Linked DNA regions of Caenorhabditis elegans. The protein of the gene in region 1 interacts with the protein of each later gene in a pairwise test. Each region holds a gene or a part of one and is shown on either strand. Other genes may lie near its edges.

The links.
Region 2: the proteins of hyls-1 (region 1) and sas-4 interact in a two-hybrid assay, tested with the Caenorhabditis elegans proteins (one study listed by BioGRID).

Annotation. Positions count from the first base shown.
Region 1 is NC_003283.11:7,229,520-7,245,250, forward strand, and holds hyls-1 (Centriolar and ciliogenesis-associated protein hyls-1), read left to right. Parts: upstream 1-7,861; 5' UTR 7,862-8,038; coding exon 8,039-8,135; intron 8,136-8,190; coding exon 8,191-8,361; intron 8,362-8,411; coding exon 8,412-8,566; coding exon of another isoform or gene 8,567-8,632; exon of another isoform or gene 8,633-8,759; coding exon 8,760-8,992; intron 8,993-9,871; coding exon 9,872-10,040; 3' UTR 10,041-10,140; downstream 10,141-15,731. Other genes in the region: gei-6 (GEX Interacting protein), read right to left, coding at 1-410, 457-840, 887-1,001, 1,046-1,204, 1,252-1,326; krr-1 (KRR1 small subunit processome component), read left to right, coding at 1,671-1,826, 2,026-2,492, 2,543-2,854, 2,913-3,090; C05C8.5 (Exonuclease domain-containing protein), read right to left, coding at 3,218-3,497, 3,545-4,116, 4,165-4,465, 4,523-4,797, 4,842-4,972, 5,018-5,155, 5,207-5,294; hpo-9 (BTB/POZ domain-containing protein 9), read right to left, coding at 5,500-5,933, 5,981-6,093, 6,312-6,609, 6,658-7,443, 7,493-7,607; C05C8.1 (ATP synthase subunit s, mitochondrial), read left to right, coding at 10,252-10,343, 11,216-11,448, 11,500-11,777; C05C8.7 (mannose-6-phosphate isomerase), read right to left, coding at 13,907-14,078, 14,311-14,900, 15,346-15,527. UniProt on the Caenorhabditis elegans protein: Plays an important role in ciliogenesis.
Region 2 is NC_003281.10:8,313,797-8,331,575, reverse strand, and holds sas-4 (Spindle assembly abnormal protein 4), read left to right. Parts: upstream 1-12,987; 5' UTR 12,988-12,994; coding exon 12,995-13,087; intron 13,088-13,135; coding exon 13,136-13,231; intron 13,232-13,311; coding exon 13,312-13,656; intron 13,657-13,772; coding exon 13,773-13,992; intron 13,993-14,034; coding exon 14,035-14,567; intron 14,568-14,743; coding exon 14,744-15,187; intron 15,188-15,457; coding exon 15,458-15,616; intron 15,617-15,662; coding exon 15,663-15,850; intron 15,851-15,898; coding exon 15,899-15,958; intron 15,959-16,711; coding exon 16,712-17,000; 3' UTR 17,001-17,227; downstream 17,228-17,779. Other genes in the region: mrps-18A (28S ribosomal protein S18a, mitochondrial), read left to right, coding at 45-143, 193-354, 402-447; iglr-2 (Immunoglobulin domain and leucine-rich repeat-containing protein 2), read left to right, coding at 666-846, 1,130-1,267, 1,316-1,533, 1,580-1,679, 1,728-1,926, 1,977-2,096, 2,143-2,277, 2,631-2,855 and 6 more; ZC262.13 (FIP (Fungus-Induced Protein) Related), read right to left, coding at 4,978-5,208, 5,258-5,287; F10E9.12 (DUF7107 domain-containing protein), read right to left, coding at 6,032-6,439, 6,743-6,757; F10E9.1 (uncharacterized protein), read right to left, coding at 7,196-7,326, 7,372-7,451, 7,919-8,043, 8,089-8,277, 8,321-8,389; F10E9.10 (uncharacterized protein), read left to right, coding at 11,296-11,376, 11,427-11,531, 11,576-11,683, 11,730-11,846, 11,891-11,947; F10E9.11 (rRNA-processing protein FYV7), read left to right, coding at 12,438-12,505, 12,563-12,830; F10E9.2 (uncharacterized protein), read right to left, coding at 17,290-17,505, 17,553-17,677, 17,722-17,779. UniProt on the Caenorhabditis elegans protein: Required for centrosome duplication. Plays a central role in determining centrosome size.

The DNA.
Region 1 (15,731 bases):
TTTCACTGCCAACAGACTTTTCTCCTCGTTCTCTTCATATTTTAAAATTCGCTTCTCCTGCTCGCTAATCGTTCTAATCATAAGTAGAAACTTTTTCTTCAAAACCATTGGCATATCATTTAACCGAGCAGCAACCGGCTCTCCAAGGGCATCTCTGACAGTTGTATTGAAGCATTCCTTGAGATATGTTGATTTCAATAAGAGATCCGTATCGGTTTGGCAGCAAGTTTCCGCAGTTTTGGACACATGTGACGTTATAGGAGAACTTTTGAAAAATTCAGAAGTATGTGTTGGCTTTGTTGATACACTCGAAATCGTCGCAGCTCTTGGTGAGATTTTTATGGGTCGACCTCTCTTTTTGTCGATTGGTGTGACAGTTGGCGTATTTCTTAATTTAGTTTCTCTCGGACCTGAAAATAAAATATTTGGCAACAATATTCGAAAACTCGTACTTACGAGCATTTTCTTGGTCCTTTTTACTGATTTTCTCGGAACTCGTGGACTGAACTTGAGAGACTTTGGCTTTGCTCTTCTTCCGAGTTCCCCAATTGTTTTTCTTTGATTTTCCACCAAACGCATTTTTGGGTTTCTTTTTTGGGATGGTGGTTTTTTGTTCAGGTGTTTCCTCATCACCATCATCCTCATCGATGCCTTCATCATCTTCTTTAGCAATTTCTTCGTCCTTCTCATCCGAATTCCCATTAGTCGACGTGTCAGAATTGGAAACTCCCGAACCTTTTTCAGGTACTTGACATACACTATTTGAGCGTGAAGCGGATCTGGCTCTTTTCTGAGAACGAAGGAATTCAAGTCTTTCACTATTGGACAATATTCTTCCATCTGAAATTGTAATTTTAAATTTTCTATAAAAGTATCGTGTCTCTACCTTCATTCACAAACGAAAATACTCCTCTGACTTTCTTGGAGGACATTCCAAAAAAAGTTTTGCAATTACTGCAATAGCTTTTGAAGATATCCTCTGTTTTGCCGCCACTCGCTGGCTGAAATTTTTCCAATTTGTTTTAGCTTATCCTGTACAACCAACCTGGCGCTGCTTGAAAAACGATAGCGTAGCCAATACTGAACACGTATCGCATTTTACAGGATCAGTGGGCTTTAGTACTGACAACGAAGAAGTAGTCGAATCATTCGAGCTTTCATCAATTGGCGAATCATTATTCTCCGATGATGTTCCCTCGATTGGCTGAACAAGATTATAATGAAATTGAACGCAACAAAATAAAAAATTACGTCAATCTGATCAGTCGGATGCGCAGAAGGCAAGTATACGCTATGGTCCTCTGCTTCAGTTGTTGCGCCGTTCATTACCTGCCACTTATTTGTTTAAAAAAACAGGTAAAATAGACGCAAATTGAAACAAGATTTAACTTTCAGAATTATATAAAACACAAAAACAGTTAAAACATAAGAAAAGCCAGCAGAAGCAGTGTAAATTCCGCACAGAAAAATTAATCGACAAACCAGTGGGCGGAGCGTGAAGCAGGAGTCGCAACCCCCGCGCACTTTTTATGCAATGCTGCCGCACGAATTCCTCTCTCAGTTTTTGTTCCCTTTTTCTTCATTTTTAATCAATTTCTTCTGATTTTTTTTGTATATAACTTTATTTTATTTTGTATAAAACATTAAATATTAATTAAAAATAATTTAAGATGAGCAACGTTGACAAAAAAGCTAAACCTCGTGGAGAATACGAGCCCGAATGGGCTGGTGAACCGGAGGAAGAGAAGAAGACGCGGAAAGAGACTGCAAAAATGTTCGGACCACAGAAAGATGCAGAGTGGTGGGATATTAACACTTTCAGCAAGGTATGTTTTTGATATTGTATTCTAAATAAATATATTTCGATTTTTGAAGTTACCTGCTAAATTTACTTAAAACTAATTTTAAAATCTCCAAAACACTAAATATTTTCTGAAAAATTAAATGTTAAGCAATGAAAAAAGTTGGTTCCATGTAATTTTTCTCTTGTAGTATGAACCTGAAGAAAATGAATACATTTTTCAGGAAGACAATCCGAATGGTCTACTCCAAGAGTCATCATTTTCTTCATTATTCCCCAAATATCGCGAAAAGTATATTAAAGAAAGTTGGCCACTCATCGAAAAAGCTCTAGGAGAGCATTTCCTGAAAGCAGATTTGGATCTCCTCGAGGGAACAATGTGTGTCCGAACTACTCGTAAAACTTGGGATCCTTATATAATCATGAAGGCTCGCGAGGTCATCAAGCTTCTATCCCGTAGTGTGCCTTATGAACAAGCGATTCGTGTTCTCGAAGATGAAATCTATTGCGAGATTATCAAAATCTCTTCAATGGTTCGCAATAAAGAACGATTTGTGAAGCGTAGAGCTCGGCTAATTGGAAACGATGGTGCTACCTTGAAAGCTCTCGAATTGCTGACACAGTGCTATGTTTGTGTTCAAGGAGGAACTGTTTGTGCTGTTGGACCGCTTGCTGGACTGAAACAAATCAAGTGAGTTGAAAATATATTCTGACTCTCTTTGAAATCATAAAAAATTTCAGTCAAATCGTCACTGATTGTATGAAAAATATTCACCCAATCTACAATATTAAAACTATGATGATCAAAAGGGAATTATCTAAAAATGATGAATTGAAAGATGCAAACTGGGATGCTTATCTTCCAAACTACCGAAAGAAGGTTCAATCTGCAACTACAACAAAGGAAGCAAAGAAGAAGAAGGCTTACAAGATGAAGCCCAAGAAGGAGTTCACTCCGTTCCCACCGGCTCCAGTTATGAGCAAGATTGACAAGCAGATTGAAAGCGGAGAATATTTTATTCGCGAGAACGAAAGAAAGATGAACAAAAAGAGGTAAGTATTCTTAATTCAAAAATCGTAACGGAATTTAATAAATTTATGAAATTTTCAGAGCGAAATTGGAAGCATCGGCGGTGAAGACTGTGGAAAAACAGAAGCAAAAGTTGAAAGTGTATCAAGCAAAAGAGGAAGCTCCGCGAGAAAAACAGAACAAGAAGCGACCGAACGACGCGCCGATCGATTTGGAAAAGCTGAAAAAGAAGGCAAAGCTCAGTAAAGCCGCCAAGTAAATTTTATGATTTCACTGTTTCGTTTCTTTGTTATCAATGTTGTTGTTTTGTTGGAAATTGAAGTTTAAATTAAACCAAATTTTATTTGTTATTCATTTTATGAGAAACTTAATATTAAAAAAAAAGATTATTTGACTCTTACATAGAGCACGTTTTTAGTGGAATTAGACAAGATCATCATAATCAGTGAGTTTTTAGCCGTGGCGGCAACCAGTTTTTCAAGAATCCGATTCAGTGCCTCCGCGTTGTCAGGAACTTCTCCTTGCTCTGAATCAGTTTCTTCCAATGGTTCTATTTTTTCTTTGTCAATCTCCACGAGGATTACACTGTCATTGAGCATTTCAGAAGCTACACTGTTGACGAATCCATTATAGGAGGGAAAAGAGGAATGAAGTTTTGAGCGGACCCTGAAATAAATTAGGTACTTAAACTTTATTATTTTTAAATATCTTACTTTTTTGATATGGGAGGACAGTCGAGAATAGCAGTATCGAAAGCACACATCACAGATTTCATTTTATCCTTTTTCAAATAATTCCCGATTGGAGATGCTTTCTTTTCATGATCCACATCAAGTGTATCCTGCCAATGAAAATCTCCTTGGGCACTTATCCCGATCTTCACACAATGCACACATTTCGAAGGAGTCGATACAAATCTGCATCTGCAATTGGCAACTGTGCAAGCAACAACTGTTGGCTGAGAGCAATCAGTACACGGTTTTGATGTGATTTCAGCAGCCGTGACAATTTTCTTCTCAACTGCTCCATTGTTTTTTGCGTATTCAGAATATTTCCATCCGAAGCTCACGTTCCCGAACATCAATCCTTTTTCGAGTTTCAGCTGAGCGAGGCGCATCGCTGCCCACGCATCTTCATACGAGCAATGACCGAATTCTGATTGAATTTGTGCTCCGAGAAAGAGTTCCGTCAAATTTTTGAGACTATTTCGGAATTCTGTGTTGCTATTCGTATAGTTGAGAACATGACCAACGTCGAGACAAAATGGATGTGTCATTTTCATTGCCTGTAATTGGTTTCAATAAAATAGGAAATAAACTGAAAATTCGAATACCTGTAGATCGTGCTCTAATGAGTGTCCAACAAGAATTGCATCCGGCGGTAACAAGCTCTGAATAGCTTTTTGAACATCTCCAAGAGTCGTCGTTACTCCTTCCATCATATCCGGTGTAATTCCAGACCATCGCGTCACATAATCTGTGATTCGACCTTCTGGTTTCACAAGAGTATCTAGAATCGTATTCTCGAATTCATCCACTATCGATATTCGTGTAAGTTCTCGATTCGCAACGTCTGTTTCACACATCTCACAGTCAACAGAAAACATTGGAGATGAAGCTGATATTTTTTTATATCTGAAATTTTAAATAAAACTTAATCTGCACTGAAAACAAGTAATATCGCTAATTTACCCTTGTTTAGTGGGTACAACACCTTCTTCACCAGGAAATGGGTAGCGTCGTTGAGCCAATTGTTCAGTTGTGAGCACAAAATGCGATTTATCGTGTTTTCCGTCTCTATCATAAGTTTTTTGCATTATGACAGACTTTCTCCGAATCTGTTCCTGAATAGTAAGCCGGACTTGCATAATGCTGTTCCAGAACAATCCACGATCACTGACATCTGAATCCAACTCTATCCATTGCTTTTCAAAGAATTCACTAAGAAAGCTTAGATTCGTTGTCGTCTGTAATGATTTCAGCGATTTAGGTTTTCAATGCAATCCCTTACGAAAAAATCGTCATCCACATTGACACGAACCACTAGGTTCTGAAGGACATTTCTATGATGGGATAGACTGACCCATCTGGGCTTTTGGAGTGATGATCCAAATATGCTGAAGTGAATAAACTGAGCCAGAGCTGGAAAACTATGCGAAAATTGTGGATTTTAAAGTGGATTATTACTTTCGCAGTCTAATCGATGGCCATCACCTAGTCGGGACAGCCTTAACTCTAATTTTGGCTTGGATGGATCATCACTACTTGTACTAGGAGACTTGGTTGGTTTTTCAGAGCTTGTTAATCGACGTCTTTTTGTTGCACCTGAAATTAATTTCTTTTCCTGGAATTTATTTTTTTATTTATTCCCCTTACATTGAAATTCATGTTCTGCTTGTTCTGGTGATTTGAATAGGTTTTCTATCTCTGATTTGAGACTTTTCCTCAGTTCTCGCTTCGCCATCCCTCTCAAAAATCTGAAAAAAACGGTTAGAATTTCAAGAATAAAGAAAATAAAAAAATAAATTTATTTTCGGTGTGTGGCGTCCGTGTATGTGGTTTTTTTTCAAAAGAAATTATTAACATTTTTATTCAATAAATTTAATAACTTATTTTTCATCAGACATTTAAGTGAAATAATGCATTATATATATTTCTGTAACCCGGTTTTATTTTATGGCAATTGGAACGTTTGAGGGAGCCTCGAGATGTACAACGTGAAAGACTTCGTTTATGGAATTCCGGGTACCAACAAGTCGAATATACACAACTGGAAGAGGATCAAATATGAGTTCTTGCCATCCATGACATTCTTCATTGGTGCGGTCGACAATCGTAACCCATTCGTCTTGATTCTTCGATACGGCAACATAATACGAGTAGAATCGATCATCACAATTCCATAACAAAATTCGCATTGAAGATATAATGTAGGGCTGAGCAAGTTGAATCATGATGAGACCACTTCCAATTTGATGACACGTGTATCCAGTATCCCAGTCGTAGGATGAGGAATCCCCGTTGATAAGAGCATTCCGACATCGAGAAACTCCTTCAACAACCCGTGCGTGATTTTCTATCGTTGTGATGTTTCGATGAGGAACTGAGAAAATTGAAATTATATTACATTTCCACAGCAAAATGTGATACCTATGACTTTGTGCACAGGTTCGACAGGCATTGTTTCGGTAGAGAACATGGCTTCGATTCGACTTCCTTCCAGTTTACACGACATTGAATTGTTGACTCGGATCAAAATATGCCTGAAATGCAAATTATGGTGAATAATTTTCGAGTTTCACGGGTTTTCTGTAGAAAATTACTATAGGCGCTGTAGTTTTTTTTCGAAAGTTTTAAATGTTTCGGAAAATGAATAAAAAATAGATCAATTAAACTTCGCCCGTTAGTTCCAAAACCGCCGAAATGTTTTTGAATTTCTACTATTAATGCAATGGATTTTACAATAAAATCAATCACTTACCGCACAACAGAATCTGTGAAGAAGAGTCTTTGTGTTCCTCGACAATCATATTCCGAGTAATCAGCAACTAGATTCCAATGAGCATCAACTCGATTATCCATACTAACGTGAACTTGGTATGTAAATGCTTGAACTTCATTTTTCCAGTTAAAATCCATCATAATTGTATTGATAATGAATGGTTTTCCGAGATCAATTTGAAATACACTAATATTCTCGTCATTAGTGTAGCGACTGCTGAGCTCTCGTGACAATGGCTGTGCGTGTGGATAGTGTGGAATTATATTCGTGTCGAGGCCTATAAAATGGAATAGATTAAACAGAAAATAAATAAAATTCAACTCACTTTTGCATCCTCTGAATGGAATCTCGTGTGGTCTTTGTGTTTGAACTTCTATAGCATCCAGAAGAGTATCAGCTGACACCAACCCAGTTGGTCTTACACAATTAAGAAGTTCGGTTTGTGTTATAAGGGGAAGTCTGACCAATTCCAGCAAAACTTTTGATGCTTCTTTCATTGTTGGATTATTCTGATGCCATGAACGTACCGCATTGAAGATCTTCAATTCTAATGCAAAAAATGAATCTCTCGCAAGAAGCTCCTTCAGACTATCTCCTGATAATCGGTTGAAGCTGGGATCTTCGAGAAGCTGATCTGCATGTTTATCAGAATATTGCATGCAATAATCTATAAGATCAGTGAATTGAAAGAAGTATGCAGCATTGAAAATACTACACAAGTTCTCATTCTTCAAAATTTCCTTGAAATATTCGCTTATTGCTGTCATAAGCTGAATTAAATCATAACGATGTGCCAGACTGAGATATTCTAGCAAAATATCCAGTTCCACTCCGGCAAAATCGATTTTCGATGTGTACATGTACCGAAGAACAGCTCGGAAGGCTACTGAATTCGTTTCCTGAAGAGTCACAAGCTGTTGATGGCTTTCTTGAAAACCTGTATAGAGCATAGCTCGAAAAAAGCTACTTCTCACAGCCAAGATCAAACGATGGGCAGCAAATTCAGTTCCATCGTCGAGAACAAGAGTTACATCGGAGTGGTCTGTTGAAGTGAAAATCTCATCGAAACTTTGTGAAAGCTCATCAAGATGTTGTACAACAGATTTGTTAACTGAAATAATAGCTAATTTTGGTCAATTTTTCTGCTTTTAGAGACTTACCGCTATTCACCGCATTAAAATTATTGGAAATGGCGGCGGATTCTGTTCTCATAGTTTCGACAATTCCTCGTCCATCTTCTTGAATCGGCCGCCCAAAAGCATGGTTATCGCTCATGTACCTGAAAACCCGTCATTATCATTAATTATTGAATTTTAATAAAAAAGTTATTTTAAATTTAATTTTTCGGGATAAAATTAGAAAATTCGGAAAAGTTTTTAACAAGGAGAATGATGGGCGGAGTCATGTTTGGCAATCTGGGCGCACTGTTTTGCAATGGCACCGCGCGCGCTATTTTTTTAAGATTTGAACCTGGCGCGCTTTCTGGCGTTCAATAGAGCACGTTTGCTTTTTTGTTTTTTATTTGTTTTTTTTTTGCACGAACAATATTGTTTGTTGTTACAGAAAAACCCCACCATCTTGTGACTGATCAGATCATTGTGACAATCTCAAAAATATTTTCAAAACGTTACGGGTAGTTTAACGTGTACGTCATTTCCTCCTTGTTCATAAAACACGCTTCATCGAGCATTTGGCTTCAAGGAAAAATGGCAAATTTTACCACTGAAAACGAGCTCGAAGATATTCTTCATCAAATGGGTCACCATATACATGACAAAAACCAATTTGCAACTTTCAAGAATGGTTAGTTTTTTTTCCTAAAATATTTAAATCCAATATAAAAGATCGTATTCTTCAGAAATTGATAATCTACTCGACCGAGAGCTTTGTCTGTCAGATGCCGATGAAGACGTTATGAATGAATCTCTATTTGCTTCATTATCAGTTGATCCAGCCGCTCAATTCATACGACAAGAACGAAATTTTCCAACCGAAAATCTGAATATTCAGTCCCCAATTGTTTCTAGAAGTGAGTTAAGTTTTAAGATTTTCTTCAATTAATCTGTGATTTTTTTTCAGAAAGACAAGGAAAACGGTTTATCTACGAAAATGTAGAGTTACAAAGCGATTTCGACGATGAAAGCTCAAACGAGTATCCTGAGAGAAACCTTCTGGTCGATCGAGCGTGGCGAAGCATACATCGTGCAATGGAAACATGCAATGGTGCCACAGAGGTTTTGACTTTTTCGTTTTTTTTTTTGTTGAAAAATGCTGACTTCCATTCAAGATTTTTTCCATAGATTAAGCTGGAAAATGTTCAAAAAGTCTAAAAATAATAAAATTGAATCCTGTGAGCCAACCGAACGTCAAGATTCAGATGTTTGTGCATTTTATTTTATAAAAAATAAGTTTTAAATATTTTTTCAGACTCTTAAATCAATATCACTGGATGGCAGCGACATACAAGAACGATCAAGTGTGGATGATGAGGAAAATATCGCTGAATCAGTTTCCGTGGGGTTAAGCACTGAAACTGAACAATCAGAGCTTCAAAAATCTTCACGACCGGAAAAAGAAGTTTGGACTCGGAATGTGTTGTCACTTGAACCAGGAAGAGCACCAAAAAAATATGATCCGGTCACAAGATATCATTTCTACAAGTAATTCATTTTATTCAGTTTGAGAGTGTCGTGACTGTGTAGTAGCGATGGAAGAACGTTTTATTTATAATTTTGATTTAGAAAAAATTAAAATACTTTAAAAAGTATTGGCATTATTGAAAAAATCAAAGTATCAAAAATGCCAATTTTTGAAAAGAAAGAAAATATTGGAAAAAAAAAGTTTTCGAAATAATTAAAATATTTCCAACAATATAGACTGAATGAAATAGAATAAAAATCAAATATTTTGATAAAATCGTATTTCCAAAAAAAAAAAGATTAAAAAGTTTTTTTTTACATTTTCAAAAATATGCCAATTTTTAAAAAATCTAAAAAAAGTAAAAAAAAATTAAAATTTGGAAAAAAAACAAAAATATGTTTTAAAAAATGGATAAATTTGTGGAAAATTCAAATCTTTAAAAAATTATATACATTTTTGAAAAAATCAAAATATTTTCAAAAAATAATAATAATAATAATAATAATTTATTACGCTCGCTGGGAGACGTGAAGGAATACAGAATACAAAAGTTATCATTGTTCGCTTGAACTAGAATTGGTGCAGTCGGGCAATTGTTTCCATTCCATTAGAATGTTGTCCTTGTCCTTGCGTTGTCCTTGCGTAGACTCCCCCATAGTGGGCGAGCGATTCTCGAGTGAAAATAATCACGGAATAAAAAATATGAATTTTTGAAAAACAAAAAAATATTAAGAAAGTATATAAATTTCTAAAAAAAACAATATTTTTTGCAATATTTTTTTAAAACGGTAACGCGACCAATTTTCGAAGTGATTTTGCACTTAAAATTTTTTTTTTGCAAAATTATACTGAAAAAAGTCTTCAACATTTATTTTTATAACATTTTTGTTTTCTTGCAGATCTGAATGGGATCGTCATCCGGCTCCAGGTGAAATGCGTCGTTTATCACTTCGTTGGAAAGTTCGAGAATTCATGTTACGTCATGATGTTCCACGATTGAATGAAAATAATGAAGATTGGAAGGCTAATCACGATAAGGACTGGTCACCTCGCCCATATATAGATTAATTTCTTTAAAAAGTGTTATATATTTATGAAAATCGTTTTGAAATCTCAAAATTCTTTTGGCAATAATCTTCTGTGTAAAATGAATATGATCTCTGTTTTATAATGTGTTGATTTTTTTATTTGAAGTCGATTCCCTGATTTTTTATGGGACAATGTATTTTTTTCTTGAATTGATAATAATTTATTCAACAAAAAATTATATGAAATTCAGATGAGCATACGTAAAATACAAGAAAAGTTTACCCAAGCCCTGGGACAACACAATATTCCCGGACTCCGTTGGGTTCTGGAGGGATTCAACAAGTTGGTTTTTTTCTAATATTATTAAAATAAAAACGAAAAATGCCAAAAATGGATCACGTTGAAATTTTAGAATAGTCGCGAATTTACAGACTCAAAAATACGGTTTCAAAAAAAGCGCCTACAATTTTTGCCATTTTAGAAAATAATTATTTTTTCTCTCATTAACATTTTACAATACAATACAATAACAAATTTAATTTCAAAACGCTTTTTTTTGTTAATTTTTGAAACATTTTTTCGAAATTTCATTTTACGGAAGAACCAAAAAATCAAAAATGTTCGCTTTTCAGATTTTCACTGAGAATAAAAATATACAAAAACTGTAAAAATTGCCAACTAATTTTCGTGTCAAGACCAGGCACAACTGTTTCGGGTCAAAAACTAAAAATTTCAAAATTGTTTTTTTTGCGTTTTAAACCCTTTTTCCAAGTTCAGTATCCGGTTACAGCAGTACTTGACTAATTTCGCGAAAATTTGGCACTTCAGTTTAAAGGGACATGCTATTTTTCTGAGCGGGTCTAGCCGATACAGGTGCCATCAGGCATTTTTGGGTTTGATCTATAATATAAATTAAAGTTTTAGGCCGCCAGGATTTATAATAAAAGATGTAGCACCTAGAGTCACTTTTCTGCAAACAGAATATAATTGTTCAAAAATAAGTCCCCGAATATAGATAAATTGCTAATAAAATTGGAAAATGACCGTAATGTTCAGAATAGTGTGATTTGATTTTTTGGTTTAAAAACTGAACTAATCGCTTTCGGTTTATCGCATTCTTTTCTCGTTTTCTGCAAAAATTTGCAAAAGTACAAAACCGAAGAACCGTGGCTGAATGCACTTATTAAGACCAGATTAACACAGATCTCTTGCAGCTATGATGTTCAAAGAGTGAAGGAGGTGGGTGCAGATCGTGCTGCAGCTGAATGGATTGTGAGATGTGGTGGAAGTATCAAGTTCAATCAGATCGCTGAGACGTTTGAGGATTATAATTGTTTGGTGAAAAGAACTGCACAATTGGATCCGAGACTTTCACAGGATAATGTCACTCTGGAAACAATCAGAGCTGTCAATGCAAGTGTTACTGGATTTGGTTGTCGTCATTTTGGTAAATTATTTATAATTTGTTGCAAAGAAAACGAATAAATATTTATTTCAGAAGGCTTGACAGGAATCAAAAGTGTCTACTTCATCAAATGTAAGAATCTTCATGATTTTGGTCTTGAATACATGGGAAATCATGTAGGAGGTCACCTGAAAACTCTTCACATTGAAGAATGCCGTCGTATCACCGAATTCGGATTGGAGCATCTAACCAAATTCTCGGCTCTTGATAAGCTTGTACTTCGCAATTTAAAGAGTGTTCACGGGAAGGAGAAAGTTCAGGAGAAGCTTCGTGGAGCACTTCCGAAGACTGATATTCAATTTGAAGTCTAATTGAAAAACAGTGATTTTGTATGTATGTATAATAGTTTTTGGTAGACAGAATAAAAACTGATAGACCGGTTGAAATTGTTTTCCATCACACAAATGGCAATTAAAAAAGTGTACTAGTTGAAGTTTTACGGAAACACAAAATTCTGAGAATGCGTATTGGGCAACATATTTGACGCGCAAAATATCTCGTAGCGGAAACTAAATACAGTAAGTCTTTAAATGGCTACTGTAGCGCTGTGTGCCGATTCTGTGGTTTTCGCTACGAAATATTTACGGAAATCTTGTTGAACAGATTTTTTATATATTTTGGCGTATAGGGAACTTTAAAAGCTTTCTGAAAAAAAAAGCGAAATTGGAGACTGGAAAACTGCAGAAAAAAAATCAGTTTAGTCAGTCAAAAATGGGATAAAACACGGGGTTTTGAATGAAAAATAAATAAGCAAAAACCGTTCTTTTTCTATAAAAAGTAAATAAATACAAATTTAGTAGAAGAAACAAAGGAAAATAAAAAAACAACACACATTACGGAAAATAAAATTTTGAGAACGCGTATTGCGAAACTCATTCAACGCGCAAAGTATCTCGAAACTACAGTACTTAATTCTTTAAATGACTACTGTAGCTCTTGTGTCGATTTACGGGATTTCGATCTTCGAAATGAATTTAATTTCGAAAAGTGACAGTGATATTCCATTTTCCATTTGTTTCTTCGTATCATTTTCTCATTTTTTGCTTAATTTTAATATTCTATCAATAAATAAATTATTTTAACTCACTTCCGAAATCGAGCCCGTAAATCGATACAAGCGCTACAGTAGTAATTTATAGAGTTACTGTAGTGTTCGCTACAAGATATTTTGCGCGGCAAATATGTTGCCCAATGCGCATTCCCAGAAGTTTGTGTTCCCATAATACGTCAAATTATAATAGTTGTTGGTTGTATTTATCTTTTTACTCCCAAACAATTCTTAAACAGTTTTTTGATATTGTGACGATATGCATGCACACATACCCAAACGAATAAACATATATCTTGCAGAATTTTGAAATCGAAATCTATTGGAGAGATCCTTTACACAATATAGTCGACTGTTCCTCAACCAAATCAAATTACGTGTTGTCGATACAAAACGTCACTTTTTTGGTGACTTTCAGAATTGGAGCATTTGAGAGCAACTTCCTGCTAACACAGGTGTTTTGTCGTTAAAAAACTCATTGTCTCCAATTTTTAGATGAATTTTGCAAATCGCAAATTTCGCTGTGGCGACACCAACATTATAGAATTATTATCCTAACTGCGGCTCTCGTCTTGGTGGTCGCAATTTGCTAAACTTTTGCAATTTTGCTAGCATTTCTTTATATAGCTGGTGTTGTCTAATTTCTCATTTTTTCAGCTCCCAGTTTATGATTGACTACAGTTCTACACGTTATAAAATACATTTTCCTTAAAAAGAGTCCAACTATCTTATCTAAAAGAGTCCAACTATCTAAAAACATTAATTTTAAATTTTTGACAAATTTGAATAAGTCAAAAAAATGTAAAAATACATGTTTGCATTTTTTTCGACATCATATAAAAATTTAAATGTAGAACGAAGAGCAAAAAAAAATTTTTTTTGATTGTGAAATTTATTCTGGGCAATGTTCAAAATAAAAACAACTAGATAAATTTGCACAACTGATAGCATGAAGAAAATAATTGCAAAAAAAATCATAAAGAGAAAGAGAGACTGGGGTGAAACGAATGGGAAAATTGGGGAAAAAAGGTAAGGTAAAAGTGTCGAAAACTAGAAGATTCGGGTAGATCGAGGCGCAAAAAGCGGCAGCCACGAACTCTCATGGCATTGTAGATCGGAGCGATTGGTGGAGGAGCATAGGAATGAATGGTAAAAGCCAATTGGAATGAAGAAATTGAAGAAAAAACGCCTTTTAAACAAAGGAAGCATTTTAGAAATGAGAACAGAGTGACATACAGAAAAATAATGAAAAAAACTACAAAAAGATACTGTACTTTCCATTGAAAAAAGTGTTGGTATTACCCCGTAATTCGGCACACGGATGATATCTTTAGAATATTATCAGTGCTCAAACAGTGAAAAATATTTGAAATTAAATGCAAAACAAAGAGATTAAACAACAGCGGTGATCGCTTCTTCCATATCTGCATCTAATTTGAACATTTTCTCAGTAATCGTAGGCACCGCATTTTGAACTGGAGTGACGAGCCGTGTGTCATGATCTGGTCCCATTTCGTAACTAAACGTCCTGTATCCTTCTAATGGTTCCGAGCAGCTTGAGAATCTAAAAATAAAACATTTGAAAGTAGTTGTTGAACAGGAAGTTTCTAATTAGTTTCGTGTCGTTCCTTTCTTAATCTTTAGAATAAAACGAATTGGATACTGGCAAAAACTTTTAAGAATGAGAGAAAATACATTTCAAGACAAAAGAATATGGCTAATAATGAATACTTCTAGGAAGGAGACCACATTTAATATCAAATAATTTATAAAAGTTTAGATATAGTCGTACTTACCTGATATTATGCTTTGGTGGAATATAGAAGATATCTCCTCTTTTAACTTCATACTGTCCAATCAGCTGATTGTCAATTGTCGCCTCTTCTAGTGTACCTTTTCCGCTGACAACTACAAAGATGGATGCGCAATCAAGAGTTGGAATCATCATTTCTTCAACAGTCTGATGTGTTCCTACTCGTATTCTATGAAGTTGGAAATCTTTACAATCTGGTGCATACATATCAACACATTCAGTCAACTTGTTCTCTGGCACCAAATAATCTTTTTGCTCTGTCATCTTGTAGTTAAGAACACTGCAAAGAGCATCTCTGTCAATGTATTTTGGAGTCATGGCGGCCCGAATCGTATTGTTTGAACATCCCACGCATTCAACACATTCACCACTGAGATAGGCATGAAGTTCTTCAGCAGCATAATAACAACATTGTCCTGGTTCGAGAATCATGTGATTGAGGAAAAGTGGGGAGAAGATTCCAATATCATTTGGAAAATCAACCGACATTTTTCGAATCACTCCTACTGTTACTTCTTCAACTGCACCACGAAGCCCATTGTCAAGTTCGGAAAGAAGCTTTGCAATCAGGTCCTGGAAATTTAAAGTTTAAGTTAGAAAATGAAATACAAAACTTTGAAAGGATTTGCAAACAGGTTGCCAAAGTGTTTTGAAAGTTTATATCAAAATCAAGCAGTATTTAAATTTATTAATACGCAAACATTATAAAAAAAAATTGCTTCACAATTTGCTTGCCAGTTTGGTTGGTGTAGCACTGATAACTTAATTAGTTATCTAGTTTGTAATCATTTAAAAATCCTTATGTATCGTTTTTCCCTCACGCGAAAACATTGAAAATACCGAATAAAATAGATTTTAAAAAAAACAAAACAGAAATCGTGGTTTTCAAAAATGGGGTTTAGTAATTAAGAATCATTGAAATTTAAATAGGATGCTCGAAAAACGTTAATTGCGATTTTCGATTCAAACATAAAAATTGTTTGAATTTAAAATATTAAATCATTAAAAAAACACCCACATGAACATCATTTCTTTCTGGAACCATCATAAATCTAAAGCAGTCCTCCAAATATTTTCTCGAGTCTTTAAATTCTGTAGATTTCTGGTCAACTGAGTTCAGATCCTTCATTTGTTGAATGCAATCTTCGAGTGGTTTAGCATACGTGTCTCCTCCGAAAAGTAACCGGAATGATGGGAAGGCTGGAATAACCAATATGTGACTAGATAATTGAGTTTCTCGGGTTCTTCTTCTTACTTAATTGTTATGTTTGAAAACGCAAATCTTGTTCAGATGTTGAAAAGGCATTGTAAAGGCTGAACAAGGCTTTTTTCGGGTCTATCACAAATGTTGGCCGAGCTGATATAATATTTTACCCAAATTCCAAACAACTCAGGAAAAGATTG
Region 2 (17,779 bases), on another chromosome or scaffold:
TTTTTCTTTCCGCAATTTGAAAAATGTTATTTTAATCGTTTCAGAGATGTTCTGATCTTGGAACAATTCATGAGAGACGATGGAACTGTTCTTCCACGTCAACTCACCGGGCTTTGTAAGAAACAACAATTGAGAATGGAAAGGTAATTAAAAGAAACTAACTGTTGCTTACATGCAAATAATTATTTGAAGATGTGTAATGCAAGCATTCTGGTCTGGACTTTTCGGTGATAAATATGGCACAGAAGCGGATAGAGCAGGTTATAAACGATTCAATCGATACTGGAAAGATGATATGTCAATGTATCAATTGGAGACGAAACAACGACATGGAACATGGTTTTATATTAAAAGGTTTTGCACTGAAAAATTTAATATTCAAATTATTTTTTGGTTTTCAGATATCCTACGAAGAATCAACAACTCTTCAAGAATCCACTCAATTGAAATTGTTAGATTTTATTTAGATATTATCCTTTTTTAGCTCAATATTATTCTGTTGTTTTGTTTGTTTCTAAAGAATTTTTCCGATCCTCGAACTTTCCATCGTTGTTTCGAAATGTTTTAAAACATTTTCAATATCTCTTATCTGTTGTTATTTCCGCTTTATTGCAATTCATTTTTCCAGGAACATCGCAGATGTCTTGATACAAAGAAAAGAAGAAATGCGAAAATTTGTATTTTTCGTCGTAGCTATTCTTATTCAAATTCACACGACAACATCACAAAGAAATAGAAGTTCATCGCCATCTGGATTTTTGGATCTTCAACTTGAAAAATGTCCTCAAGTTCTCGGATGTCGTTGTGTTCGGGATTCTACAAGAAATATTCAGTGCTTTTCTATTGGTAAGAAATTAATTTTTTAAACAAATGTTTGATGTTACTTTTCAAAAGGTACTTTATTAGAAAGGGTCAAGCTGAAACGCTCCAAAATTTTTTTTTAAAGTTTAGGATAGAACCTATTTTCAGCTAGAATTTTAAATTTTCCCCAGTTCATCAGTGTATAAAAGATTAAAATAAAACTTTTCTAAAAGTGGATAAGGAAAAACACAAAAAACGTGTTCGAGAAAATCGAAAAACTGACATCCTCGGCCCCCTATTCAAATAAAAACTATTTCATTATTTACAGACGAATCAAAACTTCTTGAAATTCAAAAAATCTACGGATCAAATATTCAACGTTTGGAACTTCACAATTGGCAACATGATCAGCTTAATTTCGATATTTTCGCACCATTTCCGCAACTAGAACATATAATTCTCCGAGGTAAATCGAGAATTGCTTCTTTAAAAGTATCAAAATTTTGATTTTCAGATGGTGATTTGGAATCTCTGAATGGAACTGTAATCCATCCAACTCTCAAAGTGCTTTCTATCGAAAATTCAGAGCTGACATCGAGCTCAGAAGTTTGTCGCCTTTTGAGCATTTTCCCGAAGATTCAAAGTCTATCCCTATCGAAGAATTATTTTGAGAAATTTGAATGCGACACGAGTAATACCAAATTAAAAATTCTAGATTTGAGTCAGAATAGAGTATGTCAATTATGCAATAAAAAACAATTCAAAGAAATAATTCTAGATTTCCCACCTGGAAGTGCCAAATACCCTCAGAGTTTTGAATGTTTCACGCAATAGACTGACTTCTTTTGAAAATATTTCGACGAAGCTGACAGATTTAGGTTTGTTCGAGAAAAAAGAATAATCGCAGTTAACAATTATTTTTACAGATATTTCCTTCAATAAACTATCCTTATGGCCATCTTTCGACGATTGGAAGTTCCCGAATCTTCGTAGTTTGTCGGCAATCAAATTGGATTTGCAAACGGGATTTCAATTAGATGCTCCACTTTTAAATTCTCTTAATATTGACGGCGCATCACTAAGATACTTGAATTTTCATCAAATCCTTACGCCGAAACTCAAAAAGTTTGTGATTTTTCATTATTTGGATATTATTAATTTTTCCAAAAATTCAGGTTCTCTGCTCGATATCTAACGGAGCTTCGAAATATTGCCGGTCGTTTACCTTCTACAGTAACGGATGTGGCTTTCACTGATACAATGCTGAGAACTCTTCCAGCTGATTTTATTCCAATGTAAGACATATTTTTCGAAATTTCATAATATATTCGGGATTTTTAGGTCATCTACCAACCATATGCAAAAGGTTTCATTCGATTTCTCTACGAATCAGCTTCTTTGTGATAAATGTTTATTGCAATGGTCTCTACCAGTTTATGCACAGACAAGTATTCGAAAAGATTGCAATTTGACACGGTAAATTATCATCTGGTCGCGAAAATTTTCGGTTTTGCCGGCGAAAATACAGGTCTCGAAAAGAAAAGAGTACTGTACTTTCAAACTTTTGTTCCTGCAGAATTTTCATCGATTTTTCATAATTCTTCGCGATAATATTTATTTAAATACATGAATTTTAACAAATAATGTGAAAAACTACTGAAAAATCTATAAAACATCTATAAAAAACAAAATTTTGGCTGTACAATAATCTTTAAAGGCGCACACATTTTAGCATTAACATAAAACATTGTCGTGCCGAGGCCGGTTATTCTGGCGCAAAATATGGTGTTTGGGTAATTTTTTTTAAATCAAAATGTTTCAATTTTCAGAGAAGAAATTGAATCGGCATCTTGTAAGATTGGTGTTGTTGCTAATGATACTGGAATTCAATATGGAAAATATGAGAAACCAACAGCAATTTCTTGTTTCTCCTACGGAGTTCCATCTCCAAAAATCAGTTGGTGGAGATTTAGACCAGCAGAGAAGCTTGGATCCTATGATCCAATCACAGATGAAATCAGTTATACAAATGTTTCGGAAACGATGAAAGAAAGGTATTTTATATCAAAAATAGACTTAAATAACAGATAATTACATTTTCAGCTATGAAATTCAATCTGGCGGGTCTCTTCTAATTCGATCACCCAACCGATCACATGTTGAACGATATGTTTGTGTCGTGGAAAATGAATATGGAAAAGATTATGGAATTTATCATTTTAGGTACTTCAAATAATTAGTAAAAGAAGGAGAAATTATATCTTCAACCAAACTTTTTAAAATTTCTCAAAATACATATGATTACGGCGGTCTAAAATTTCTCCCCTAAAATATCCAGAAATGAAATAAAAACTAATCGAGACGGAAATTTAACAATTTTGGAGACTTTCAACTTTTTCTAAAATTGTCATTATTAGTCTTAAAAAAATCGGTTTTCCACCTACCATAAATTTCAATAATCGAAGGTAATAACTAAAGTTTTTAGACTCGATTATCTCGATTGGTACAGCTATGATGTGTTCAATTCAGTATTTTGGGGAGGTCTCGCCACTTCATTAATCGTTTGTCTCATATCATTCTTGCTCAATATTACATGGATTCTCACCCGAAAAAGTGCTCTTTGGTGGATTCAAAGGTACCAGATTAATTAAATTAATAAATTAATTAAATCTATGATTTTTCTAGAGCCGAACGCCTGTCACGTGTCCGAAAAATGGTTGAAGCAATGGAAAAATATCGTGTTCGTCAAATGGAGTCACTTCATGAAAAATACACGAAACGCGTTCAAATTGTTCGTGATAATTATCATCAACAAGTTGAAGCACTTCGTGTATCGTATGCATCACAACAAGAGAAATTTCAAAATTATAAAGCAGCTCAAGTGGATGCTGTACATTCACATTTGGATGCAATGAGAGATGGATATAATAATCAATTGGGTAGAGTCAGAGAATATGGATCAAAACGTGCAGAACAATTATGGGAGAGCTATGAGCGACAGGTAAAATGGGGTTTTTTTTTCAAAAAGAAAATTTATGCAAATTTCTAAATGAAAAATGTGCAGAAAAGGTTTTTGAAATCTCTGAAAAATTGGCAAAAAATTTCAAAATTTAAAAATAATTTCCAATAAAAATCGAAAATGTCCTATGTGTAAAAATCTTAATCAAAAAGAAAAATTAAAGAACGAGAATCTAAAAATCGATTTAAAAAAAAAATTACAATCAAATTCGAATTTTGTTTATCATAATAAGATGAGTTTTAAATAGTTTGGTTATTCTCTTCAAAAGTTGAAAATAATATGACCAAACTTTGGAAAAAAAGAAAAAATACATTTTTATAAATTTTTTCCAGGTGAATCGCATGCGAACCTTCAGTCTACAACATCGTCTAAAAATGATGCGCCAGTACAAAGTGAAGCAACGTTATGTTAATAAATTACTCGAATCACTGCAAGCAACATCACCAGAAGTTCAATTGGAGAATGTTAGTTTCTGGAAAACTAGATTAATTGATTTTTTTGAAATTTCAGGAAGAAAAAGTACGTGCTGCTCTAGAGATTCCTGATGATTTGGCAACTATTGATGGTTCAATGGACACTCCTTCTCGCCTCTCGCGTAGTTCATCATTCCATAGTCTTCCTGAATATGTTATTGATGAACAAGGAAACGTACGACCGGGAATTATTCCAACAAATGCGCCTTCCATTAGGTTAATGTCTCACTGTCAGTGATGAAAAACATTTCTCATCTATACTTTCAGATTCACTACCAAACCAACAACATCTTCAATATCAAACGAGGCAAGTACCTCTTCTCCGAGCTCATCAGGAGCTCATCGATCGCCAGATTCTCCACCAGAAAAGAGATAATTCTTTAAATCATTTTGTTTGTTTGTCTATAACCATTCCAAAATCGGTGCCATCATCATCCGACCTATCATTTCTTTTTGCAATTAGTCCTAAAACACTTACTTACCATCTTCAGGAATAATGTTCTCAACTAGAGCTTTGTTTTTTTCTTTTCGAGAGTGTCTTTAATATATCTTTCCAATTCAATTGTTTCATGCCAGGAAATCCATGCAAACTTCTCCCCCAATTCCCACTTTTTGTTCCAAATTTCATGTGTTCATTTATTTATTTTCATTTAATTCAAGTTTTACTGTACGCATATTCAGAGATTAAATTTTTGATTGTATTCTTTTTTCTGGCGACGATTTCTGCATCAAACATACTCGATTGTGGCATGAATGAAATTCCGGACAAGTGAGGTCATCGACACATTTGAAGACATGCTCATTCTGATAGAAACAATGTCGATTCACACATTTATGATTGCTATCACAGTTCCGATCGGTCAAGCATTGTCCACGTGTGGATGCTGATGATATCAGCGGAACGAGGAGAAGAAGCTGAAAACTTCAAAATAATAAGAAATTTGTTATCATACCTCTCACTCACCAAAAATAGAATTTTGAGGAATTGAGTCATAGAATTGAAAAGTGCCAGATAATCAATATCACCTGACGAGAGCTCTTATCAGTTGATCGACACTTTAGAAAAAAAGAAAAAAATATATTACAACAATAGAGACATTTTTCCGAATGAGAGATTCTCTCGGTGAGAAATTTGATGAATTTAAAAATTGTGTTAGCTCAATTTTAAAATCTCCCCAAAAATTTAAGAATCAAATTTGCTACTTGATCTTGAAGCGAACGAAATAATCCAGCTACAGTACTCAAGAGTACGATATTTCGCAATTCGGCCTCTGAAGACTACTGTAGCCACACGTTTTTTCATGAACTTATGAGTTCTTATTGTTTTTATATCAGTTTTTCGATGAATCATCATATTTTTATGACAAAATATGAAAAAAATGTTATCTATAAAAATTCCAACGTACAAAAGTTTGGGATTACAGTAGTCTTTGAGGCGCACAAAATTTTGCACTTAAGAAAAATTGTCGTTTCGAGGCCGGTGCCGTATTTTCGGCATAAAAATCGCTAAATTTTTGCGTCTGGGTGATATAGAAAAGAAAAAGCAATTTCCGCGGGTACTGTAAGTGAAACTTTTTATTCGTTTCAGGACGTCAGGTCTCTACTTTAATTAACTGAAACTTTGAAATTTGAAGTACACCTTGGCGTCTTACGGTAACCTTATTAGTTGAAACATAATTGTTGAAAGATTTATTATGCACAAGAATTATGAAAAAAAAAGAAGAAACAAGAAAATAATTCACCATCGAAATGGGATACACATATTGATAATACACTGATTTCCAGAAGGACAATCCAATTGACTGTCACACCTTCGGAATAAATACGGGAATAGCTGGAAACGTTTCGCATTTAAACATTTTCCATCGTAACAAGCGGTTTCCGATGAGCAGTCCGTGTCAATAGAGCATCTTTGGATTAATGGAAGATATGGAATATTATCCGGAGTAGTTGGGATTTCATCGAATTCTTTGGATTTTTGTAGAACTGCTTCTAGTGGTAGCTTATCATCAATTTCTTCTTTTGGAGACTCTTCGGATGATGGAATGTGAATTTCCGATTCAGTTTCATTATGTGATTCTTCAGAGGAAGTTATGTTGACTTCAGTTTCAGCAAGAGAAAATGTGAAGAACACTACGAGAAGTAACTGCAATTATGTTTCGAAATTATTATTATCGAACATTTTAGAACTCGTATTTAAAGGCGCATGGATTTATTCAGATGGGTCTCACCAGGAGAAAATTTGAATGGTTTGTAACGATTTTGTAACGATTATCAGCTTTTTGAAAATTCGATACTGTAAACTTTTTCGCGAAAACCATCAAAACTACAAATAAGCTTCATGAACTTGTTTCAAAACTCTCAAGTAGACGTTTCAGAAAAGTGGAAACTTTAATTTAATTTTGGAAAATTGATAAGTTAGGCACCACAGTAAAATTTTTAAACTTACCCATAATGCATTCATGGCTTCTAGACCAACAAAGTATTGTCTTTTTGGTAGATTCGAGAAAAGTTGAAAATTGGAAAACCCGGGAAAAAACAGAAAAGAAATGATGCGTGTCAGAGGGCGGAGAACAGGAATGAATAGACAGGCAACTGAAGAGAGAAAAAAACGATAAATTTTGTTATCGCTTGGAGAATATTTTTAAGAGAGCGTGCTGTTCTTTCAGGAGTCAGTTTCAAAAAAATGTGGGAAAACATGTGATAAAATGGTTTAAAAGATTCTCGATGCTTCTAACCGGGTGATTCAACAGTTCTATTGGAAGAAATAAAGAAGAATTAAATGGAGGATGAACATTTATTCAGTATACTTTTTTACGTAGACATTTTTTAGAAGTACAATAAAAAAGGGTTTGATTGTGATGAATTTTTTGATTATTTGTCAATTATTTCAAGATGACTCTTAAATGTGCAATGGTCCGACAGCTTCCTCATTTTCTGTTCTTTTTTGTTGTTCTTCTCTCAGGGTGTCAGCGAAGATTTTCATCTTCTTCTCCTCAACAGCTTTGCGACAAAAAAGTCTTTGAATCGCCACTGAAAATATGAAAATTGTGACAAATGACAAATATTAGAACATACAGAAAACTAGCATGAAGTTGTAGTAGTAGACAAACCAGATAATCGAAATGTCATTATATTTGTTGTCCTTGAATCCCATTCTGCATATTCAAAATTTAACATTTGTTAAAACAATTGAAAAATTGTTTCAAACCTCATTGTTACTATGTCAGTAGGTATGACTTTGCCAGTAGGACATTCATTATGAATCCGCAAAAGATATGCAGATGTAAGTGTCTATGTAATACCTATCCTATACTTGCCTGCATACGTATCAGCCTCATGTCTGCTACGTACCTCTCCTGCCTACCAATGCCAACCAAAGGCCTATCTACGATTCCTGCTCCCTTTTATTTCAAGTATCCGAAGGCAGGCGTAGGCCTGGATGATATGCAGACATTTTAATATTTATGTTAGGCTATTGTGGAAATTCTCAAAAATTTTTTTAATCTCCAGAAATTCTCAAAACTACCCGTTTTTTCCACAAAACTCAAACTATCGATTCTGATGAAAATTGTTAATTAGGAGATCATAGCTGTTTTTGCAAAAAACATTGGAAAAACCTTACATTCCCAAATTATGGAACTCCTCAATGAACTCCATTGTATTGTTTGCATGTGACGTCTGAATGTTAGCAACTGCGTAGATCGGAGTGAAGAAGAGACGTGGTGCGGCACAGATAATGCACAAAGTCTAAAAGCGGGTCTCTTGAACAAGAAGAAAAGTTACAAAACTCACCACAAACTTCTTCCATCCCTTTCCGTCTGCCTCACAGAAAAATGCGATTGATAGAAGGAATGCAATAGAAACGGTAATTCCAGAAAAGATATATCCTGCTGCGCGAATAAACCAAGCACTGAAGAAGATGTACCATATGGTAGAGACACTGATCCATGCGTAGCAGATTTGATGGAATCGGAGGGAGAACTAAAACCTTTGGATATAGAAATCTTTGTGGATATTCACTTACATTTAATTGTTTCTGAAGTGGCTTCCTCACGGCTGTTTTGTCCAGCAACTCCAATATTTCGAATGTCATAGTTTCGACCTGAGGAATAGGAAATCAGAAAGGTGATGAGCATTTTGAACGGTGGTGCAGTACTGATAGATAATACAATTATTGTTCATCGAAACTATTTTTGATTTACAAACTACAACCACCGACAGCATTTTTCAGCTGGCACAATTTGACACAAACTACAGGAAGTATATTTCTAGATAATTCTTAAAACTACAAAAAATCATAACAAAAACCTCAAAAATGAGAAAATACAATGAGCGGCATCTCGAGACGAGGAGAATGCATTTCTGACTGAAAACGCGTTATCCCTATGGCAACAGTAGTAGGGGTGATCACAAGCTGAGCAAAAAGTGTAGCAAGCAGCCATACGAAGAATGAAAATAATGAACGCAAATCACGAGTTGCGCAAGTTATTTGAGTATATTGAAGACAAAAACAGAATGGCAACATTTGTAATTACAACATACTTCTTTCAAATAAAAAAAAATGCTTGAGAACATGCGATAGGTAAATATGAAGGCACGAAGGTAGGGGGTGTGCACAAAGTAGGAGTGAGGTAGCCAGGACGGGAAGATCTCGAAGCATTTATGAAGTAGGCATAACCAGGTAGACCGTTGGTAAACTTGATCAAGTTGCGTGACAGGGATGAAGCGTAGGCGAGTGGGCACGTAGGTGAGCATTGAATAGACCATAACCTTTTCTCATTTAATTTCTGTGTTTCCTTGGGAAAAATCTAGCCCCCAACTTGAAGTATATGCATTTCATGTTCAAGAGCAAACGGTACTTGAAATAATTTTTGAGATTACACTTCAGGATTACATCTAGAATTTTCGAAACATTTTTGAATTTTTCTCAATTTGTTTAAATCCTATTTTTGTTGCATTCCGGTGGGTACTCCGTTGTTTACTTTTCAATAAATTGCTTACTTAAAACATTTTGTGGAACATGAAACAAAAAATTGCAAAAAGAATGAAAAAACTGTTCTCGTGTAGTTTGACTGTAAGCACTCGAGGTAGGCGTACGTATCGTTGTCAGTTTTCAGTCTTGCCTACAACTAATTTTTCCACTGGAACCGTCTAGAATACGATTCAGTATTCAAGTAAAAGTGATAACTAATCTAAAACTGAAAATCCAGATATTCTATCGTGGCGTGTCGGGGCGCGGCCCAACCACAAGTGCCCTACCTTGGGTGCAAATGTCGTCAATTTACAAAATGCCTGTTATACACTTTTGTGTTTTTCCTTTAATTTTGCATATTTTGCATTCCCTTTTCCGAGCTATTTTCTGGACGTGAATCGCACCTATCCCTATGAAATTACTGGTCTATACCTCTTTTTCTGTTCTTCAATCTTTAAAAGCCGTGTATGACGATGTGCTGCTTCAAAAAGTAATGAACACTGATGTCAATCGAATGTGCACTCGGAATTTCTGTCTCGCCTCGGTTTTCCAATTACTAAGATTGCAGGAGCATTTACTGCTGCTCTTTACTTGCCCTTTTCTTCATCCAAAACTACAACTACATATCACAAGACATGTCAACAATCACCAGCCAAAAAGGGATAAGATTATTAACTGAGAGACGAGGGGATAATTCCCTCATACTAACTCTCACTCTTCACTCTCTCTGCTCTTCTCCTCATTTGTCTTCTTTTTTTGATATTGGTTGTGGTTTTTTGTCACCGAATAATAAGAATGCTATGAATACATCTCACAATTCATTTTTCTTTTTCTTGCTTCTCTTCCTTTTTTCGTTCTTTTTGCCGTTTGCCATGTGAGAGTAATAGGCTGTGAATGGGCCAGAAGGACACTGCACAAAGTAGTCAGTCATCACAGGCTTTTGTTTATGATGAAAGAGAGACATTGAGAAGAGGAAAAAGAGAAGATGGAAGAAAAAGGCACAAGAAGTATTCAACTACATGCACCAGAGACCCTTCTCTTCTTTCAACTATATGCTTTCAATATCCATCTCATTTTTATGATCATCATAACTTTTGTGCTCCACGTTCGGTTTTAACTTTGCCCAGTTTTAAATTACGTTCCTCTTGCCTTCCAGTTTTAGAAATTCAGAAGCTCTATAGATGTAGGACTCTCATAAGCCACAAATATCGTACCTCTTCAGAAAACCTTAAAAATTTCCGAAATATTGTTATTTGAAGAACACATGTTTCAAGACATGAAATTTGAAAAACGCCAGAAATTCCGTTTTACCAGAAATTGAATTTATCAATTAGCTTTGAATTTATCGATTTGTTACTTTCAAAAAGCCAAGATTTTGTACACCTAGATTCGAAATTTTGCGATTTTCGACGAGGAAATACGGTACTTTGCGTTTAAAAAAACGTAAAATTCTTTGGATAATAGTAATTCAAACCTAAAACCTAAATAAATTTTAGATGTTTCAAAACTTTCAGTCAACTTTTTGGTAAATTGCCAAATTCTAAGAAAATGTGGGCTTTCCCAGCAATTTTGAGCATAAATGTAAATCTAATTTCTAGAAAGTTGTTAGTTTTTTTAATCCGAAAAAAAACTCGTAGAAATAATTTGTTCATTTTTAATAGAGAATCCTCCAAAATTATGATAAGGACTGATATTTTTTGACAGTGAACAATAAAATTTCAATTAAAAAAATTATATATCTATGATAATTTGGCATTTTGGCGAGAATAGTTTCTATCAATTTGTTTAACTAGCAAAATACGACCAGTTTGAAAATTTCATTAAGACAATCCAGATACTCTTGAAATAGATATTCTGGGAATAGTTTCATTTGAAAATAAACGGTATCCTTTAAACGATCAAGGCCGTTACTTATAACTTATAAAATTATATTTTACAAATAGTTATCTGCAAGTATCTACCCATTGACATCCTTATTTAACTCATTTCTTCTTTTTTCTTCTTACAATAATAATAATGTGTTCAGGATGGTCACAGTGATACCAAAAATAATAAGTTCTCCATATCCTCGGACACGCCTACCACTGTACCTCTACACTGTTTCCATCGTAAGAATTACCAATCAATAGAAAATTCAAGTTTACACCTATAATTCTAGATTATTTCCTGCTCTTTATTATACTGGAATCTTCTTTACTGCAAAAATTATGACTGTGTCGTTGAGAAGGAATTTCGATGGGGAAGTACTCGGCACTTACTACAGGTATCATACAATTTGGTACCATAAAGAAATGACATAACTTTCAGTACTTTCCGGTGATAGCAGCTCCGATTATAATGGTAATATCGTTTTCTTGGTTAATAATTGCAATATATTATTCAAGTAGTTCATGTGTTCTTACATTCAATTTTATGGTAAGTTTTATAGGAAGGAGGAATAAAATAAATATTGAAATTAAAGGAAATGCCATCTGCAGTACTTTGTTCTCTACTTGGTGGTATTAGTTCTGTAATAGAAATTCATTTTTCCATTGAAGTAAATCAAGTTCAATGGACTGATCAGTGGTTACTGTCATCTGTGGGTTTACCAATCAACGATTGTTTAAAAATCGATATTTTCAGGGATCTTCAATACTTTTATGCCTTTTACATGCTACAATTGCGTTCACACTTCAATAATCCTTCCAACATATTTGAATTTCCAATCTTCTTCAAATCGATGTGAAAAAACTTGTATCATTGTTTTTATCAAATATGAAACATTTTATAGGAATCAAAAATATTATGTGAACTGTGATATTTACTCTTGCTCAATTCATTTCATGTAAATATTATTTTGATACTCATTACTGGCATAAATTATATTTTCGAAATTCATGTCACGAGCGCGGATGATGAGGGACAATTCGAATTAATTCTCTTTTTCTCAACAAAAACAATTAAATTTTGAACCTCCCTCCGTTTTCTTTGAAAATGGCCTAGAATTGTGATGGCCGTGGACTAGCATTTTCCCTAGCACGACGGCGGGAATTGTCTGCGTCATCTTCGTCTTGCACGCTCTCTCGTTACCCCCCGCTGTGGTTATTATACCGTTTACCACCTTAATCCCTTCAAAACGCTTTTATAATTTCACATAATCTCTTCTTAGAAATCTCAATCGTTTATTCAGATGGGAAATCGATCAAAGACAGACAATGCAACTGCCGTGGCATCGCAACCACCCAAAAAAGTTAAATCGTAAGTTTTCTTTCCTATTTTCAAAACTAATATATCTGAAATCATCAACATTTTTAGGAAAAAGCAAAAGAAAATGAGCTTTTCACAAGCACAAGACGTATATCTTCGTCTGAAGCAAGAAAAAGAAGAGGAGAAACAACGAGAGCGAGCCGAACGAGAAAAGCGAAATGAGACGATTGCAGCGACAAATAAATCAAGAAAGAAGATGAATCAGGCATTGGCAAAAAGAAATAAAAAAGGACAACCAAATCTGAATGCTCAAATGGATGTACTTCTCGAGAGGATACAGAAAAGAGTGGATAAGGAGAAAAAGGAGAAGAAATGAACTAATTGTTTTGTCTTTTATATTTTCAGATTTTTTTTGTTGAAATGAAATTGTTGTGTTTTTAAAAATCGATAGTTTTATCGTTTCTTCGTTTCTTACCGATAGTATACTTTATTTTCTGAAATATAATTCAATTATTTATTAAAAACCTTTTCAGCCTTCAGATGGCTTCCGATGAAAATATCGGTGCCGACGGTGAACAGAAGCCTTCTCGGCCGTTTTTGAGAAAAGGACAAGGAACAGCAAGATTTAGAATGGTAGTTTGTGCAAATACAAGGCTTATCGAAATAATATATGAAGTTCAGCCTAGAAACAACAAAACATCTGCTGGTGCACCTCCAACGTCGGAACTTTCATCTGCTTCAAGTCCTTCTATTAATGTTCCTAGGTTTAGTCTGTCGGTAAGTAAAATATCTTAAATACAAACGTTATAAAACTGTGGTGACTAGTTAAATATAAATATTAAGTAGAATTATTCCAGAATGCTCTCCCGAACTCTGCCCGAACCGTGGACAGTGGAATATCAAATGAAGACGAGACCCGTCCACCAACCACCGCATCTCTTCCAATGGATCAACCATCATTGTCATCTTCGCCGGAAAATCGTCTAAATCCCGCACCTTCCGTTGCTGAAGAGCATGGCCACAGTGGACAGCACGCTGAAGAAGAAGAAGACAATGACACGGATGAAGTATCTGCAATGCCTTCTTTTGTGCCTGATGAACCTTCGACTCTTGTTAATTCAGATCATGAATTGTCTGATGATGCTTTAAAGTATAAAAATGCAGCTGCCGAATTCAAAGCTTTTGAGAGAAGAATGGATTCGGTAAGAACAGCCAAATCAGAATGATAATTGAAATTTTACATAGAATAGATTTACGTATCAAAAATCAAAACCTACGAATACTCTCTAATTCAAAATTTAATTAATTAAAATTAAAGATGAGATCAGCTTCAACAATCACAACATCACTGGCAACGCCATCATCTTGTGCACCATCAAACTCCTCTGAGCCTCCTACTCGGTCTACACCAATTATGAACGATTTAGGCGTTGGCCCAAATAATCACAATTGGCCGTCTTCAATGCAAGAATTATCAGGAATTTCTCTGGAAACACCACAGGCTCGACCGCTTGGCAGCAATAGAATTAATCAGCTTGGTAGGTTAATAACAAAAAAAACATGATTGATTAGATTTTTAGTTCGAAGTGAGGCTCAAACGGGAATAAGCCTTTTACAACACCATGAAAGACCTACTGTGACCGCCCCATTGAGACGAAATGATATGATGAACTCATCACGACAGAATCCACAGAATGGAAATGTTCAAGATGAAAATCGACCCGAGCACGTTTATGATCAACCAATACATGTTCCTGGATCATCACTGGACCGACAGAAACTTGAAATTGAAATTCGACGTCATCGTAACTTGAACATACAACTGAGAGACACTATTGCTCACTTGGATTATGCAGAAGAATCCGTGCACACCACAAAACGACAGCTCGAAGAAAAAATTTCCGAAGTCAATAATTTTAAGAAAGAACTGATAGAAGAATTTAAGAAATGCAAAAAAGGAGTTGAGGAAGAATTTGAGAAGAAGTTTGAGAAAATTAAGGAAGATTATGATGAACTTTACGAGAAATTGAAGAGGGATCAACGAGATCTTGAACGAGATCAGAAGATATTGAAGAAAGGAACGGGAGAAAGGAATAAAGAATTCACAGAAACGGTAATTAAGAATTTAAGCAAGAAATAGTTATTCGAGAAAAACCACGAAATTTCGATTGAAAATTTTTCTCAAAGCAAAATCTAAAATTTTCATTGAAATAAATTGAGAATTTAAAAAGTTGAAATTCTATTATAAAACCTTTAATTTAAAATCCAGCAAAACTTGTCAAATTTCAGATAGCCACTCTCCGCGACAAATTAAGAGCATCAGAAACCAAGAATGCACAATATCGACAGGATATACGTGTTCGAGACGAAAAGCTCAAGAAAAAAGACGAGGAAATCGAGAAGCTTCAGAAAGACGGAAACCGGCTAAAGAGCACTCTACAGACTTTAGAAAAGCGCGTAAAACAATTACGTACTGAAAAAGAACGCGACGATAAAGAAAAGGAGATGTTCGCGAAGGTTGCAATGAATCGAAAAACTTCGAATCCAGTGCCACCAGTTTTGAATCAAAGTGTTCCAATTTCGATAACATCAAATGGTCCATCTAGACATCCATCATCATCTTCGTTGACAACATTTAGAAAACCATCTACATCAAATCGAGAAAGAGGTGTTAGTTGGGCAGATGAACCAAATGAACAATCATTGGAAGCTGTACCACAGGAGTTTTTGATGGTAATATTTAGATCAAAGCAGGGTTTTTTTAAAATTGTTTTTAGAATATTGCTCTGAAAAAATCAATTCAAAAAAAATTTCAAATTATTTTTTCTTCCCGACTAAAAAATTAATATTTTTGAAAAATAGTTTTTTAAGTCTAAAAATTTACAGCTTACTATTAGCATTTGCCGAAAGTTCCGATTTTTCAAAATTCCCAGAATTAAAAATCAATAGTTTTCGAGTTACCGAAAATTGTCAAAAAAAAATTTTAAATCATGCTTTTTGAAGATGCCAGTCAAAGAAATGCCGGGAAAATTTGGAAAATGCACGATCTACAGAGATTCTCTTGGAGAAACATCTAAAGTGACGGATACAATAGCTAACGGTCTTCTTTTCGAATATTCCAATGGAGATCTTCGATGGGTTAATCGGCAGAACGCTGTTAATGTAAGTTTTAATTGGAATTTTGTCAATTAAAGTGACCAATTTACAGATCTACATATCCGCAGTTGATAAAACAGTCAGAATTGATCTCCCCACATACAATATTTCAATTATTCATACATTTCAAAGGCAAGTTGAAGTACTTCGTCCTGGAAATAACATAACATTGATAAGTATTAAACGACGAGAAGTTCGAACTGATTTGATTTATCAAAACGGAATGTATAAAACTGAAATGTAAGATTATTTTCTTTTTTAAAGTTCATCGGAAATTTCGTATTTCAGCTTCAATAGGGACGGAAGATATGTTACGAAGGATTTTAGCAATCAAGAAGTTTCGAGAAAGTGAGTCTCTATTCATTTTCCAATTAATTATTCAGAAAAACCATTAAAATCTCAAAACTATTACCCAGATGTTTAATTTAATTTAATTTAATTTATTACGATAGAAGATATCGTTAGGTAGAAAAAAAAACACACACACATTAATAGATACAAACCATCACAAGTGGTTACATAAATAAATTACATAAATAAAACGAAACAAAAATAAAAAAAGAGATGTGACATTTTGCGGCAAAAAATGTCTCGGCACGATAAAATTTAGTTAAATGGGAAAAGGCGTGCGCCTTTAAATATTACTGTAGTTTAAAAATCGCGTTACTGTCGAATTGTTGTTTGCCCCTTTTTTTTTTGATAAAAACATGTTTATTAGTTTAGAAAAAAGATAAATAAACCAAACTACAACAGTCTTTATAGGCGCACGTATTTTCACATTTAAAAATCTGTCCTTTAACGAAAAAATTGTAAAATTTGGCGCCTTCAAAGAGTACTGTAATTTCAAACTCAATTTGAAACAGAATTTTCATCGATTTTCCTTAGTTAGTTTTTCGATGAATTTTAATTTATTCATTAAAAAAACTCAAATAAGTATAACGATATTTTAGCAAATAATATATTTTCAAACAAAACATGTTTCTATAATTTTTGTCTAACCCAAAATTTAGGAATATGACCTCAATTCTTCAAAAAGTTAGTAAAACAGGTTTAAAACCCCGTTATAAATATTTTTGCCTCTGAAACCTATCAAATTTTCAGATACAATCCCGGTACACACACATATCGCGACAATCAATGTCGCTACGTTCTCGTCACTGATTACAACGATTTTGAGCTCGTTGAGCCAGAATTCCGTCTTCGTTGGTATCAGGGAGATCCGACTGGTCTCAACAATCAGTATATTCTCAAGATCATTGGACGACCTGAATGCAGCGAGAAAACATTGAGACTTGAAGTGAATCTTTCCACGTGTGAAGGTACATTGGAAACTGCAGAGATGATAGGCGATAAACGTCGGAAAACAACTTTGTTCCAGTGGAAAAAATGAGAAATTCCAACCCCTTTATTTTAACTTGTGGTTTGTATATCTATTCCATTGACATTATTTTTCACTCCTGAGTGCTCTAAAATTATAATTAATTCTACCTCCTGTAAAATCATATCAAATAATTCAATCATTTTTTACTATCTCAATTTTCACTTGCCCCCTCCCCCATTTCTTTCATATTGATCTTCATGGTTATTTTATTGACTGTTATAAACAATTTTAACTTTAAATGTTCTGCACAAAATTCGGGATTCAGATTGCAAAGATTTATTGGAACACTGGAGACATTTCAAGATGATCTCGGATCTTCTGCACGACTCGACGGACTCAAACTTTGAACATTTTCGTGTGAGATTTTCTTTTCTTTTTCCGCACTTTTCTTCTCTTTCTTCTCCTCACCACTTCCATCTTTCTTCTGATCATCTACATCCAGGAGCAGCATCTTGTGACGTGTAATCTTTAGATCACTGAGACGAGTTTTCGAATCGCCGACTTCAAGAGGAGCCTACAATCATCCTTATCTTTTTATATTCAGAATATCAAAAAACTAACCGGGTCACCTCGACCAGAAAACTCGCCTTCGCCTTCTTCACTCGATGATTTCTGAGTTCTCAGAGTAATCATATGGGTCTTACCGCTGACACCAAGAAGCGTGTAGAGTCGAGCCATCAGATCGTCTGAACGATATAATTGTTTAAAAATCTTAGATTCTTAAGCTTACGATAAGTGGCATCCGTTGGAAGGCTGACAACGACTGGCTTTGAAAGGTACAAAAAGTA